Linked DNA regions of Oryza sativa Japonica Group. The protein of the gene in region 2 interacts with the protein of the main gene of each other region in a pairwise test. Links are inferred from orthologs where the notes say so. Each region holds a gene or a part of one and is shown on either strand. Other genes may lie near its edges.

The links.
Region 1: the proteins of protein GIGANTEA (region 2) and E3 ubiquitin-protein ligase BRE1-like 1 interact in binary tests that used the Arabidopsis thaliana proteins (3 or more experiments, as listed by UniProt). The link is inferred for Oryza sativa Japonica Group from reciprocal best matches to the Arabidopsis thaliana genes GI and HUB1.

The regions. Positions count from the first base shown.
Region 1 is NC_089038.1:28,057,796-28,064,636, forward strand, and holds part of E3 ubiquitin-protein ligase BRE1-like 1, read right to left. Parts: coding exon 6,795-6,841; intron 5,193-6,794; coding exon 5,031-5,192; intron 4,951-5,030; coding exon 4,863-4,950; intron 4,316-4,862; coding exon 4,091-4,315; intron 3,855-4,090; coding exon 3,687-3,854; intron 3,340-3,686; coding exon 3,146-3,339; intron 2,928-3,145; coding exon 2,844-2,927; intron 2,706-2,843; coding exon 2,586-2,705; intron 2,483-2,585; coding exon 2,296-2,482; intron 2,208-2,295; coding exon 2,047-2,207; intron 1,956-2,046; coding exon 1,884-1,955; intron 1,767-1,883; coding exon 1,690-1,766; intron 1,431-1,689; coding exon 1,236-1,430; intron 1,119-1,235; coding exon 1,046-1,118; intron 949-1,045; coding exon 862-948; intron 47-861; coding exon 1-46. UniProt on the Arabidopsis thaliana protein: E3 ubiquitin-protein ligase that monoubiquitinates H2B to form H2BK143ub1. H2BK143ub1 gives a specific tag for epigenetic transcriptional activation and is also prerequisite for H3K4me and maybe H3K79me.
Region 2 is NC_089035.1:4,340,458-4,347,532, reverse strand, and holds part of protein GIGANTEA, read left to right. Parts: intron 1-176; 5' UTR 177-406; exon of another isoform or gene 407-483; 5' UTR 484-501; coding exon 502-588; intron 589-680; coding exon 681-758; intron 759-850; coding exon 851-905; intron 906-983; coding exon 984-1,126; intron 1,127-1,285; coding exon 1,286-1,560; intron 1,561-1,982; coding exon 1,983-2,041; intron 2,042-2,907; coding exon 2,908-3,148; intron 3,149-3,225; coding exon 3,226-3,376; intron 3,377-3,509; coding exon 3,510-3,719; intron 3,720-4,517; coding exon 4,518-6,014; intron 6,015-6,118; coding exon 6,119-6,187; intron 6,188-6,387; coding exon 6,388-6,606; intron 6,607-6,723; coding exon 6,724-6,816; intron 6,817-6,908; coding exon 6,909-7,075. UniProt on the Arabidopsis thaliana protein: Involved in regulation of circadian rhythm and photoperiodic flowering. May play a role in maintenance of circadian amplitude and period length. Is involved in phytochrome B signaling. Stabilizes ADO3 and the circadian photoreceptor ADO1/ZTL.

The DNA.
Region 1 (6,841 bases), on a different chromosome or scaffold from region 2:
GCAAAGCATCTTGTGTCTGTTTTGCTTTAACACCCTCCATAAAAATCTGCAGTGTAGATTTCACCAAACAAAAATGTTACGACTACTGAAAAAATAGTTTACTACCAGATTGATTCATCCTAAAGCTTCCATTCCTCAATGGGATTGAAATACCAAATGCAGAGTTAGCACATTTCTTATTCAATACATCCGAAGTAAACAAGCTTTACTATCAGTAAAATTTCAATAAAACATCAAACTAAAATTTTGGATCAAAACATACACAATCACTGGAACTGTAGATTTATCAGGAGTTCAGGACCCTTGGATAGGCTGCCTGGATTATCAAGGGCACTCCAAAGAGTAAGGAGCTATGGTACAAATAGCACGGCTAAAAATTTTCAATTTATCTCTACTATTAAAAGGCGCAGTCGTCCTGATTTTCTCTGGTTCTTTGACCTTGAAACAACACCATTTACCCAAAAAAAAAACTGTTGATGGTCATTTAGAAAAATGTTCTAACTTTCTTTTCAAAAAGATATCTAAATAAAGGGCAGGCAATACTCATCCAGGAATCCACAAGGATTTTTTTTTGGCAACCAGTAGTTGCTGTCCACAAGGGTTTGGAACTTTGGCCTATTTTATGAAATTCCGCATCACCAACTTAACGCAAGTAAACAGCTTTTCAATGAAGTACTGAGTCTCCGGAACAATCAAATTAACAATATAACCAAATCTAACATCCTATGAATATATCAGAAACATGAAAGCTATTTGTGCAACCAGATTTGGTACAGTGGTAAATGGGAACTCTTATAAAACTATAAGCTTGGGAGAGGATTATCTGAGATAATAGCTTTAAAGAAATCATTGAGTCACTACCTTGGTATTATCATCATCTCTTTCAATAATCTGCTGTAGCAATTGTTGGTTTTGTGCCTGTATGTCCTCATATGCTTGCCCGATACACTGGAATAGGTTAGTAAAAGTTTCAAACTCAGGATGACAATGTTTAATATATGTTTAAAGCCATACTTGAACTGCATGCATAAAAGATGGCACACACCTCGACCTCCACTCTGTAAGCTTCACATTCTTCCTGTTTAGACTTCAGCATATGGGATAAACTGACTAGATCCCTGAACACAGTGAACATTCAGCAGTAAGCATCAATTTCCTTTAGTAACCCTAAAAGAGAAGTGACCCCTACTTCAACAGTTCTAAGAGAAACAATGTTCAGAAGCATAATTCTGTACTTTCTAGAAGTCCCAAGCTTCTGCCCTGATTCAGCAATCTCAGCTTCTGCAGTTGCTAGCCTCTGCTGTGTGATTGCTTCAGCTTCATTGGCAGCCTTAACACGCTGCTCTAGCTTACTTTCATCAAGAGATGATTTCAGGGCATGAACATGAGCCCATTCAAGGAATTCCCTATCTCTGGATTCCATTATTTCCCTGCCACACACACAAAAAAAGGTTATTTCCATCACAAAATAAATAAACTTAAGTTACTGGTGATGAGTGATGAAATGTCATGGCCATAGTAGAGTGACCGTGCAATGAATTAAATACATGATAGGTAAACAATTAAACACGGCATTACACTGCACTCTGTCCTAAGAAGTGAGATGCATCTATCTCTACAAAATATCACAAGTCTTAGCCAAAAAAAAAAGTTGTGTTGAGAATTATATATGATATAAAATTGAAATACCTGGAATCAGTGGATTCACGCTTATACATATCCGCGAACAACTTAAGCTCCTTATTAGTTTGCTTCAGATCAGAAATCTACAGGGTTTTGGTTTCAATATGTCAAATTATCATGGGAGGACAAATTCCTGCAATAGCTAAACAAAACACCTTAATGAAGAGAAAAAATAAGCTGAGTCTAAACAAACAAGATACCACTGATTGAAGTTGTGTTATATCAGATCCCGCACGGGCAGATCTGCATGATGCTTCTTCATTATCACGTTCCTATAAAACAAAATAAACAGCCTGACACATTGGCGAATCAATGCCATAACACTTGCGAGTCATATGTGCAAGCCAATAACAAGCAATTTACCTTTCTGGACAGAATGCGAGAAAGTGAATGGACTTCTGCTCGCAAAGAATTCAACTCCAAGGAAGCCTCCTTGTGTTTGGTCATTTCACTCTGCATCGCGCCCATTTCCCTTGGTATCGATGACACTAAAGCTTTAAATTTTGTAATAACTTGATTCCGACCTGACAAGTGCAAACAATTCCTTATTACCTGCTTTAGCAAGACAAGTTTGAAAGTTACTCTTGGTAAAGTGAATAGTAACTACCGCACCAGGTTCTCTTGAAGCCTCTTCAAGTTTGAGAATAAGCATGTTTTTTTCATCACATAGTTTCTGAATATCCTTCTTGAGATCAGCAATGCTAGACTCACAATATGTAGAAACCCTCTCAGGAATCTCAGCCAGATCAACTTTCAAATTAAATTGCCTTTCTTGCCACACAAACTTATCCTTATCAACCTGAAACATATCAAATAGGAATTCAACAAAAGATCAAATGCTCTAGCGAGACATTTTTGCTATACAACTCTGGAATCCAACAAATCCACTGACCAGTAACCACCTGTAATTTCTCTAATAATGTCTGGTAGTGATCCAATTCTGCTTGTGACTTCTGAAGTCGATCATTAACAAGCTGAAAAGCTTTTGAAGAACGAATGCTCTTGAAATCCATCAAGATATTCTGGAGGAGATTAAAAACACACACACAAAGTTAGTCATACAGGTTCTGATACTAAAAAATTCTCCCATGCAATAAATATTAAGCATGGGCCTTCAAGGCTAAGCAAGGATGCATTCTGTGCTTGACCAATCAACAAACCTGAAAAGTTGCTATTTTGTTCAAAATTTCAATTCTCTCTTCATGTAATCTCTTAATTTCCACCAACCGCTTTGAAATCAATTCCTGGTTGATAATTGGGTCAGATCATACATATCACAGGTACTCCCTCCGTTTCACAATGTAAGTCATTCTAGCATTTCCCACATTCATATTGATGTTAATGAATCTAGATATCTAGATTCATTAACATCAATATGAATGTGGGAAATGCTAGAATGACTTACATTGTGAAACGGAGGAAGTAGTAATTTGGAACTTTAAAAATGAACGATGGCAGTTACCGATAATTCCTTGTGAGTAGCTTCAAGATCCTGCATCTCTCTTTGTTTATCTCTGACCTTATCTTCAGGCATATTTTTGTTTCCTAATGTAGGATATGGGATTCGAGCTCCTTGTGTATTATCTCTTTGAGCTTTAAGTGCTGCCAGTTTGTAGTTAGTTTCTTCCAACTCAGAAGCAGCACTGGCCAACTCCTCTTGACAAAGTAAACCAAAACATCTGGTTAGTTTTACCCAATGTATTAGGACAACGTATCTAGGTAAAAAAATGTATAGGGAAAATATGGTACAAGTCTGAAGCGCTGGCGCAGTAAATATAAGAGTACTGCAACAGTACAGCCTATTATCGCAAGAATGCTCTCCAGAAGATTGCTGGTTAATGCGTAGGGAGGATAGATAGGAGTTGATGGCAACATGTTTGATAATTCAAGATGTATAGCAGGTCTCAAATGTTGCGAAACATGTTCCTTTAAATGGCATGGATGCTTATTTGAAAGTTAAAACAACTGTAAAGAAACATCAGCACAATCTCTAAACAAGATACCTTTTAGACGTCTATGTTCAGCTCTTTTTCGGGCACTGGAATCTCTTTGATTTTGATAATCCTCTGCTAACTGCTTGTGCTTCAACTGAAGATTACTTAATGCTTGTACGACATTATTGAGGCTGGACAACAGGTTGCTACTAGTACTCTGTAGTTGCTTACTGCGGTCTACAGAACATGGATGAAATTAGTACTTCTTTTGTATTAGTACAACTGAAAGCTATACTCTCTCCGTCCAACAAAAAACGAATCTAGACTGGATGTGACACATTCTAGTACAACAAATCTAGACAGAGATATGTCCAAATTCGTTGTACTAGGATATGTCACATCCAAAACTAGGTTGGTTTTTTATGGGTCGAAGGGAGTACTAGTTAACAGAATATATGAACTAGAAGACGAACCATTTTCTGGTAATTTAGTGAGAGCAGCCAAAGCACACTCCTCATTTGCTTGCAAAAGATCACTTGATGGAAAAAAGATATCCCCAAGAGCATTAGCTGTGGATAGATGTAATGGAGGGGCATCACTTCCCAAGTGGCAACCAGGCAAACAACCTGAACTTTCAGTTGCACCAGATTCCACAAGACTTCTAAGAGTGTCCCTCTCTATGGGTGCACAAGTACCATCTGAAAAGAGAAGGTTTATAGTTAACCTGATAGGCAACTATGGAAAAGAATAGGAGCGGCCATCGTTAAAATGCATATCAAGCTCATTAACATAAATAACTTATAACTTATTACATAATCTGAAAAGTGCAGTTTTTGCAACCAAGCAGCATTATCTTAAACAATTGCCACAAGAGCAATGGACCACAAAGATGACCAGATCAAAAGGTTTTTCCATAGTGATAATCATTTGCTACTTAAATACTCCCTCCGTCCCATAATATAAGGGATTTTGACATTTTGCTTGCACTGTTTGACCACTCATCTTATTCAAAAAAATTTGTGCAAATATAAAAAACGAAAAGTTGTGCTTAAAGTACTTTGGATAATAAGTCACAAAAAAACTAATTCCAAAAATGTTTGAATAAGACGAATGGTCAAACAGTGCAAGCAAAATGTCAAAATCCCTTATATGAGGAGACAGAGGGAGTAGATGGCACTCCCATATTTCAAAACCTGTCTAGGAAAATGTAGTTGGGATGTTTTTAGAAAATAAAGGAAGTCATACCCTTTTGTACATTGTTGTGCCCTGAACCAGGGCTGGAATTAGGAGATCCACTTTTGCAAAAAGATCTTGACTTCAGGTCTGCCACAAGCTGATCAAATAAAGGGATTCAGGAAGAAACATTATAAAGTCTGTCTTTTTTGGTAAAACATGCACAAAATAATAGCTTACTTGTTCCCAAGAACTGTTGACCAAGGAAAGTGTCTCATTATGAGTCCTCTGCTTCTCTTTTAGCCCAGCGAATTTATTTTCAAGAGCACGATACTCAAACTTGTGGGCTTCTAGTTGCTCTGAGAGCTTTTGGTTTTTGTATTTGAGTACAGTAAAATCGAGCTGCCAAACAAGACAATATAAGTAGGCAGTGTGCGAAATCAAAACTAAAGATATGTGTTTGGCAACAAAGAGAAATCACTAATTCAAGCATAAAAAGAAAAGCTGAACCAACATTCAAGTATCTTTTATTTACAACTTGAAGAAGAGCAGAGCCAAAACAGAACATAAACACAAAAGGAGCCGTACTGATGATATCACCAACATGATAAATAGGTTCATTTCATGCTACAGGACAAAAGAAAAAAAAGGTTTTGTGCATGGATATTCCATATTGGACCAAATACGGTAACACATGAGTAAACGCATAAAAGGTATCATCCAACATGCCATTATACCCTTGACCTATCCCTCCCAAAATTTAACCAATCTTTTCCCATATTTCCCTCTTGTAAAATTAAATAACAAAGTAGGCGAATAATTGCCAGTTGTCACCGGTAGTAACAGCGATTAATTGTCAGTTGTCACCAGTAGTAACTTGGTGACAAATTTCATTAATATTAATTTAACGACCCAATTTAGACCTTTATCTATATCAAAAAACAATAGCATATGCTATGGAAAAATAAAAGGCGCTATGATTGTAAATAAGCATTGGCACATTATGGTATCATTGCCAGCAAGAAAATTAAATTTGTCCAAAGCAGCAGCGGAGCTAGGGCCCGGCCACCACGGGCAGGTGCCCGGGCTCCACCGTATTAGCCAGTGGATTACCACTTAATGCCCCTGCTTAATCTGCTTCTTTTAATAGAGGCTAAATCAGCTATGCAAGCAACAAAGGAGTCAAGACACAGCCTCACACCAATGTTTGCTGCCATCAGCCTAAGGCCAAAGCTACACAGTTCTCCAACAGCCATTATCTACTTTTGACAAAAAAATAATACTTATTAATCCTATAATCTAGCCCATTCGTTTAGGTTTGCCCAAGCTCAAGAGAACTTCTAGATCCGCTACTAGTCCAAAGTTAACCATTTCAATATCCATAAATGTAGCCACAAAAAACTAAGATCATTTAAAAAACTCAAAATACGAAGGTTTACCAAGGAATTGCCACTTTCTGCTATCATGAACACGGGAAAACAAGAATGCAATGTAAGTCAAGTAACAATTTCACAAGTCAGCCTCCCATCTATCACCGAGTAATAATTATAGAATACATCAATTGCTCTAAAGAACCATAAACAATCGTGCAATAGTTGCAGAATCCGAAACGGATAATGCATAGCTCATTCCTACTAGTATTTTTGTTTTCACTCTGACAGGAGGCAATATACATAGGGCTTCTTCCACTAACGACCACAACACAGCAAGACTTGCAATTGCATAGAGCTCAGCATAAGTACAAAAGCATCAAACACTTGTCAAGAATAAACTCATCGATCTATACTCAAACAGTCCACAATAGATCTTTTAGCGGATGTATGGATTCCATGACATAACAAAACAGCTAAAAATCAGTCACCATGCCACCATCTAGCTATCATACAACAACATATCAAACAGTACTACCACCATAAACATGAACTCAAACAAACAGTACTAACACGGTACCACCATAAACATTAACTCAAAACGATACAGAGCTGGCTCGAGATGCGCAAATACCTTCTTATCTTCGGAGGTGGGTGCAACCGCCAGCCGCTTGGCAGGAG
Region 2 (7,075 bases):
GTGTTGAAAATACTTCTATATTTTTCTATAAACTTAGTCAAACTTGGAAGAAATTTCAGTAAGAAAAAAGTCAAACGGCTTATAATATGAAACGGAGGGAGTAAATTTTTTTTTGCATTAATTAAAATTCATGTATTTTCCTCCTTTTTTGGTTTTTGTTGTGCGATATATTACAGTGTAGAGACTCTGAAGCTCATATGGTTGGCATTGGTTGATATGATAACGTGTCACGTTGTGAGATGCAGACCCCCGTTATGGGGGTTGATTGAATGAAGTGGATAGCACTCTTATAACTTTCTTGCTCGAAGTTTCTTGATACCAAGGCAAGTAGCTTATAAGAAGATTTGGACTTTGGTGGCATAAATGGATGAACTAACTGGCGGCTTCAACGTGGTGTTGATTACAGGTGCTTTTATTGCTAACTGGAGCAGTTTGTGTAGTTTCTTTCTTTCTCTTTGAGAATTCTCTCAGTTTCTTGGGCAGGCTCTTGAGCTACCAAGTATGTCAGCTTCAAATGAGAAGTGGATTGATGGGCTCCAGTTCTCATCACTGTTCTGGCCCCCACCACAGGATTCACAACAAAAACAGGTAACATTATTCCTATTTGATTCTTGTTAGAAATTCTATATGTTGAACATACTTGCCTCAATGGGAAACTTGGTTGCGTCTCCTCTCTGAAGGCACAAATTCTGGCCTATGTTGAGTACTTTGGCCAGTTTACAGCTGACAGTGAGCAATTCCCTGAAGATATAGCTCAGGTACTGTATCTCTAAGCATGTTTAGTATCTTCTGTGATAAAATCTTTCTCCAGTGTGTTAACTTTTGCATTCTTTTTCTTGCATGCTTGCAGCTAATTCAAAGTTGCTATCCATCAAAAGAAAAGCGCCTTGTAGATGAAGTATTAGGTAATTTGATCCAGTGATCAATACATGTTCCACAAACAATTGAAGAAAGAGTTTGACATATTTTTCTCATATTTCCAGCAACTTTTGTTCTTCATCATCCTGAGCATGGCCATGCAGTTGTGCATCCGATTCTGTCACGCATCATAGATGGGACACTCAGTTATGATAGAAATGGTTTCCCGTTCATGTCCTTCATCTCTTTATTTAGCCATACTTCTGAGGTAAGGCCCCTACTCTAATGGTTAGTTCCAATTTATTGGTTCATTTCTCTGTGTTTGATAAGATTTTGCCTCTGCTGTGCATTTCAATATTATATCTAAACTGTGCTGCTTATAGCTTATCAAACTACTCTTGCTCATAAAGATGCAACTTTTATGCAGAAAGAGTACTCGGAGCAGTGGGCCTTGGCCTGTGGAGAAATTCTTAGAGTTCTAACTCACTACAACAGGCCAATCTTCAAAGTTGATCACCAACATAGTGAAGCGGAATGTAGCAGCACATCTGATCAGGCCTCATCATGTGAGTCTATGGAGAAAAGGGCTAACGGTTCTCCAAGAAATGAACCTGACCGGAAGCCATTGAGGCCACTATCTCCTTGGATCACAGACATATTGCTTGCTGCACCTCTGGGTATTAGAAGTGACTATTTTAGATGGTGAGTCATAATAAATGATAACATATTATTGTTCTGTGGACTGAAAATCTGAAATCCTCCTTTCTTGAGAAATACAACCTCAATTTTATGGTGATATTGACAAGAAGGAAGAGCGCATATAATTTAAAGTTAAAACACGGAAAATAATAGAAGTATGTGAGCAGAACGCAGGAGCAAGGGGTGGAACTCATAACAAGTTCAAACTTCATGCATGTTCATAATTCCCCAATGCAAGTATGGCAAGAAAAATAGACAACTTTTAAAAGTATGCTAATGGAACTGCATGCATTGTGTAAACTTGCTTTTGTCAAGCATGTTGGAACATACTATATATTTGCTGCTGATGATGAAAAATTTGCTTGAGTACTCTTCTATTGCTAATGGACGCTTACCATTCCCTGTTTTGTCTTCAAATGCATCAGGTGTGGTGGAGTCATGGGAAAATACGCAGCTGGTGGAGAATTGAAGCCTCCAACAACTGGTTGGTAAAATCAGCAATGGAATTTTCTATCGTGAATTTTTTATAATTATTGTAACATTAATTACTCCCATGTCTTTTTATTCTGTTGAGATACCATGTGACAATGTCTACAATTGCATATTTTGCATTCTTTGGTAGATCAGTTCCCTTCTTAAGATCCCCAAAGGGAAACTGGAGTATCAATAACTTACTCCCTCAAATAAAAAAAAAGTGATACTTTAGGCATAAACACATTCTTCAAAACAAAACTTTGAATAGCAGTTTCTTTTGTAATATATTAATAAAGCATGGAAAAATTATAATGTGAAGAATGTACATTCAGGGACAAATATACTCATCATTTTTGCATGGTTGATCTTAATGTCCATAGAGAGATTGATCAGACCAAAAGTTTATTTTTGACAGGAGTGAGTATGGATTATAATAGGAGTGAATGGCAATATGCTGTGAAAGTGAGCATTTTATATTTGTTTACTACTAGCATTTGGTGACAAAGCAAATGATGTATATTGTAAATCAAAGTAAACAAGTAGAACATGTCCTGTGGCGACAAGACATAACCTACAAATTAAAGTTAGCCTGATTGTTTATTTTACTGGGAGCACATTTTTTCTAGATTCTAGAGTACATATTATTAAAAAAGGTGTGATATGTTTGCAAATTACTTTTTAATGGAAGTTTGTAAATTACTTTGAAACTTGCATTCAGTTTTTTTGCTTCTTAAAAAACATAGTGCATATGGGCTTTATGAGCTCATACTATGCATGTTTTTCTGCATTGGAGTGGGACCTTTATCTTTTTCTTGCAACTCGGATGCTAATGCTTATTATAAACACAAGTTACTAACATGTGCTTGGGTCATTCAGCTTACAGCCGAGGATCTGGGAAGCACCCACAACTTATGCCATCCACGCCCAGATGGGCTGTTGCCAATGGAGCTGGAGTTATACTAAGTGTCTGTGATGAGGAAGTAGCTCGTTATGAGACAGCAAATTTGACTGCGGCAGCTGTTCCTGCACTTCTATTACCTCCACCGACCACACCATTGGACGAACATTTGGTTGCGGGGCTCCCTCCTCTTGAACCATATGCTCGCTTGTTTCATAGGTAAGCTCTTATGATCCTGTCCACTGTTGTACCATGTGTACTTTCCAAATGATTGCTAACATGCTATTTTTCGTCAGATACTATGCAATTGCTACTCCAAGTGCTACCCAAAGGTTGCTTTTTGGTCTTCTCGAGGCACCACCATCATGGGCCCCAGATGCACTTGATGCAGCAGTACAGCTTGTTGAACTCCTTAGAGCAGCGGAAGATTACGATTCTGGCATGCGGGTATATCATACATCTCTCTGGCTGTTGTTTCAGTGCTATCAATCAAGATGACACATCATGCAATATTATCATAACAGCACATTATGTGTTTTGAATATTTTATTGATTGTCATAGCTTTGTTTTATGTTTTAGCTTCCAAAGAACTGGATGCATCTTCATTTCCTGCGTGCTATTGGAACTGCAATGTCAATGAGAGCTGGTATCGCTGCTGATACGTCTGCTGCTTTACTTTTCCGAATACTCTCCCAACCGACATTACTTTTTCCTCCACTGAGACATGCCGAAGGAGTTGAACTCCATCATGAGCCACTAGGTGGCTATGTATCATCGTACAAAAGGCAGGTATGCAGTGTTTCCTGCACCTACTTGCTACCTATTCTGTATTTGATGTATTCAATTTCCTTTTTATCAGTTTTCTCGAAATATATGCTAATAGGCTTGTCACTAAACGGCTACATTATCCAGACTCTGTTCTGAATTTTTTTTTCATTAAGTACTGTTAGCTGCCAGATTACATCATCATGACTAAAGTAGTTTAGCTACAATATTGCAAAGCTAGATTTGTCTAGCCTCTATTGTTTTGAATAGAAAAGGCAGGTATGCAGTGTTTCCTGCACCTACTTGCTACCTATTCTGTATTTGATGTATTCAATTTCCTTTTTATCAGTTTTCTCGAAATATATGCTAATAGGCTTGTCACTAAACGGCTACATTATCCAGACTCTGTTCTGAATTTTTTTTTCATTAAGTACTGTTAGCTGCCAGATTACATCATCATGACTAAAGTAGTTTAGCTACAATATTGCAAAGCTAGATTTGTCTAGCCTCTATTGTTTTGAATAGAAAATTAAATCTTTTGGTCATTTTTTTGTAACCTTTTAGGAGTCTCTGTATGCTTGTCGTCAACATGCTATGATAAGTTTATATCAGTTCTTTTGGAGCTATGATGTATTCTTGTATATTTTATGACTGCTAGGATATTATGTTAAAACTGTTTTAAAGGTATCATCAAACAAGTTAATATAGATATTGCTACCTACCAAAGTTGGAATTTGATTATGTCGTAAAATATATGCACCCTACATGTTTTAGCTTCATATTGACTTATATTTTCATATGTGCTCCTTCAACTGCACAAAGCTGGAAGTTCCTGCATCTGAAGCCACTATTGATGCCACTGCGCAAGGCATTGCTTCCATGCTATGTGCTCATGGTCCCGATGTTGAGTGGAGAATATGTACCATCTGGGAGGCTGCGTATGGTTTGCTACCTCTGAGTTCATCAGCAGTTGATTTGCCTGAAATTGTTGTAGCTGCTCCACTTCAGCCACCTACTTTGTCATGGAGCCTATACTTGCCATTGTTGAAAGTATTTGAGTATTTACCTCGTGGGAGTCCATCTGAAGCATGCCTTATGAGAATTTTTGTGGCAACAGTTGAAGCTATACTGAGAAGAACTTTTCCATCAGAAACCTCTGAACAATCCAGGAAACCAAGAAGTCAATCTAAGAACCTTGCTGTTGCTGAACTCCGAACAATGATACATTCACTCTTTGTGGAGTCCTGTGCTTCAATGGACCTTGCGTCCAGATTACTATTTGTAGTATTAACTGTTTGCGTCAGTCATCAAGCTTTGCCTGGGGGAAGTAAAAGGCCAACTGGTAGTGATAATCATTCCTCTGAGGAGGTCACAAATGATTCGAGATTAACCAATGGAAGAAACAGATGTAAGAAGAGACAAGGACCAGTTGCTACATTCGACTCATACGTTCTAGCAGCCGTTTGTGCCTTATCTTGTGAGCTCCAGCTGTTCCCTTTTATTTCCAAGAATGGGAACCATTCAAATCTGAAGGACTCCATAAAGATAGTCATACCTGGAAAAACCACTGGTATCAGTAACGAGCTACACAATAGCATTAGCTCAGCGATTCTTCATACTCGTAGAATACTTGGCATCTTGGAAGCTCTGTTCTCCTTGAAGCCATCATCTGTTGGTACTTCATGGAGTTATAGTTCAAATGAGATTGTTGCAGCAGCTATGGTTGCTGCTCATGTTTCTGAGTTATTTCGTCGATCCAGGCCATGCTTAAATGCACTGTCTGCGCTGAAGCAATGCAAGTGGGATGCTGAGATTTCTACCAGGGCATCATCCCTTTACCATTTGATTGACTTGCATGGTAAAACAGTGACCTCCATTGTGAACAAAGCTGAGCCTCTAGAAGCTCACCTGACCCTTACACCAGTAAAAAAGGATGAACCTCCCATTGAGGAAAAGAACATTAACTCATCAGATGGTGGTGCATTGGAAAAAAAGGATGCTTCAAGATCACACAGGAAAAATGGTTTTGCAAGACCACTCTTGAAATGTGCAGAAGATGTTATACTAAATGGTGATGTCGCAAGTACTTCTGGGAAAGCCATTGCAAGTTTACAGGTGGAAGCTTCTGATTTGGCAAACTTCCTCACCATGGACCGAAATGGGGGTTACAGAGGTTCTCAAACTCTCCTAAGATCTGTACTGTCAGAGAAGCAGGAGCTATGCTTCTCTGTTGTCTCATTGCTCTGGCAGAAGCTCATTGCATCTCCCGAAATGCAGATGTCTGCAGAAAGTACATCAGCTCATCAGGGTTGGAGAAAGGTATGGTCATTCCTGCTTATAAGATACCAGAATAATGCTATGAAGACCGTCCTTGGTTGTCAGCATTCTTATACACAATGATAATCTTTGTTTTTCATGGGTAGGTTGTGGATGCGCTTTGTGACATTGTTTCAGCCTCACCGACCAAGGCTTCAGCTGCTATCGTTCTGCAGGTCAAGATATTGTTATTGTTATATTTACATACTTGTTATCATATTTAAAAGCTTCATATTGTATGTACCTTTGAAAAAAAAAGTTCCATACTGTAGCTTCTTTTGTTCTCATTTCTTGGTTTCAAAGCATCAGCATCATTACCGATATAAAATATACCCATTTCCTCAGTCATCTTCCCCGACTCTTGTATCTTTCACAGGCCGAGAAGGACTTGCAGCCCTGGATTGCTCGAGATGATGAGCAAGGTCAGAAGATGTGGAGAGTCAACCAGCGAATAGTTAAGCTGATAGCAGAGCTTATGAGGAACCACGATAGCCCAGAAGCATTGGTGATCCTTGCTAGTGCTTCAGATCTTCTTCTTCGAGCAACTGATGGAATGCTTGTTGATGGTGAAGCTTGTACTTTACCACAATTAGAGGTAACACCTTCATTCATGAGGTCCTTAGGTGCAAATCCCAGTGAAGAATAATCAGTTCTACTTTGTATGGTTCATCTCGCTTACTGACCGGTTCATCTCGGGATCAATTACGAGCAGCTATTGGAAGTAACCGCCAGAGCAGTCCATCTCATCGTCGAATGGGGAGATTCAGGTGTATCCGTCGCTGATGGCCTCTCCAATCTGCTGAAGGCATGTCCTCTTCTCTGATCTCACTCACGTTCATGCCAAACTTACTCATCATCATCCATGATCCATCATCCTGACTGAATCTTGATATGCAGTGCCGTCTATCAACCACCATCCGCTGTCTTTCGCACCCCAGCGCGCATGTCCGTGCACTCAGCATGTCCGTCCTTCGCGACATCTTGAACAGCGGACAAATAAACTCCAGTAAGCTCATCCAAGGGGAACACCGGAATGGCATCCAGAGCCCAACCTACCAGTGCTT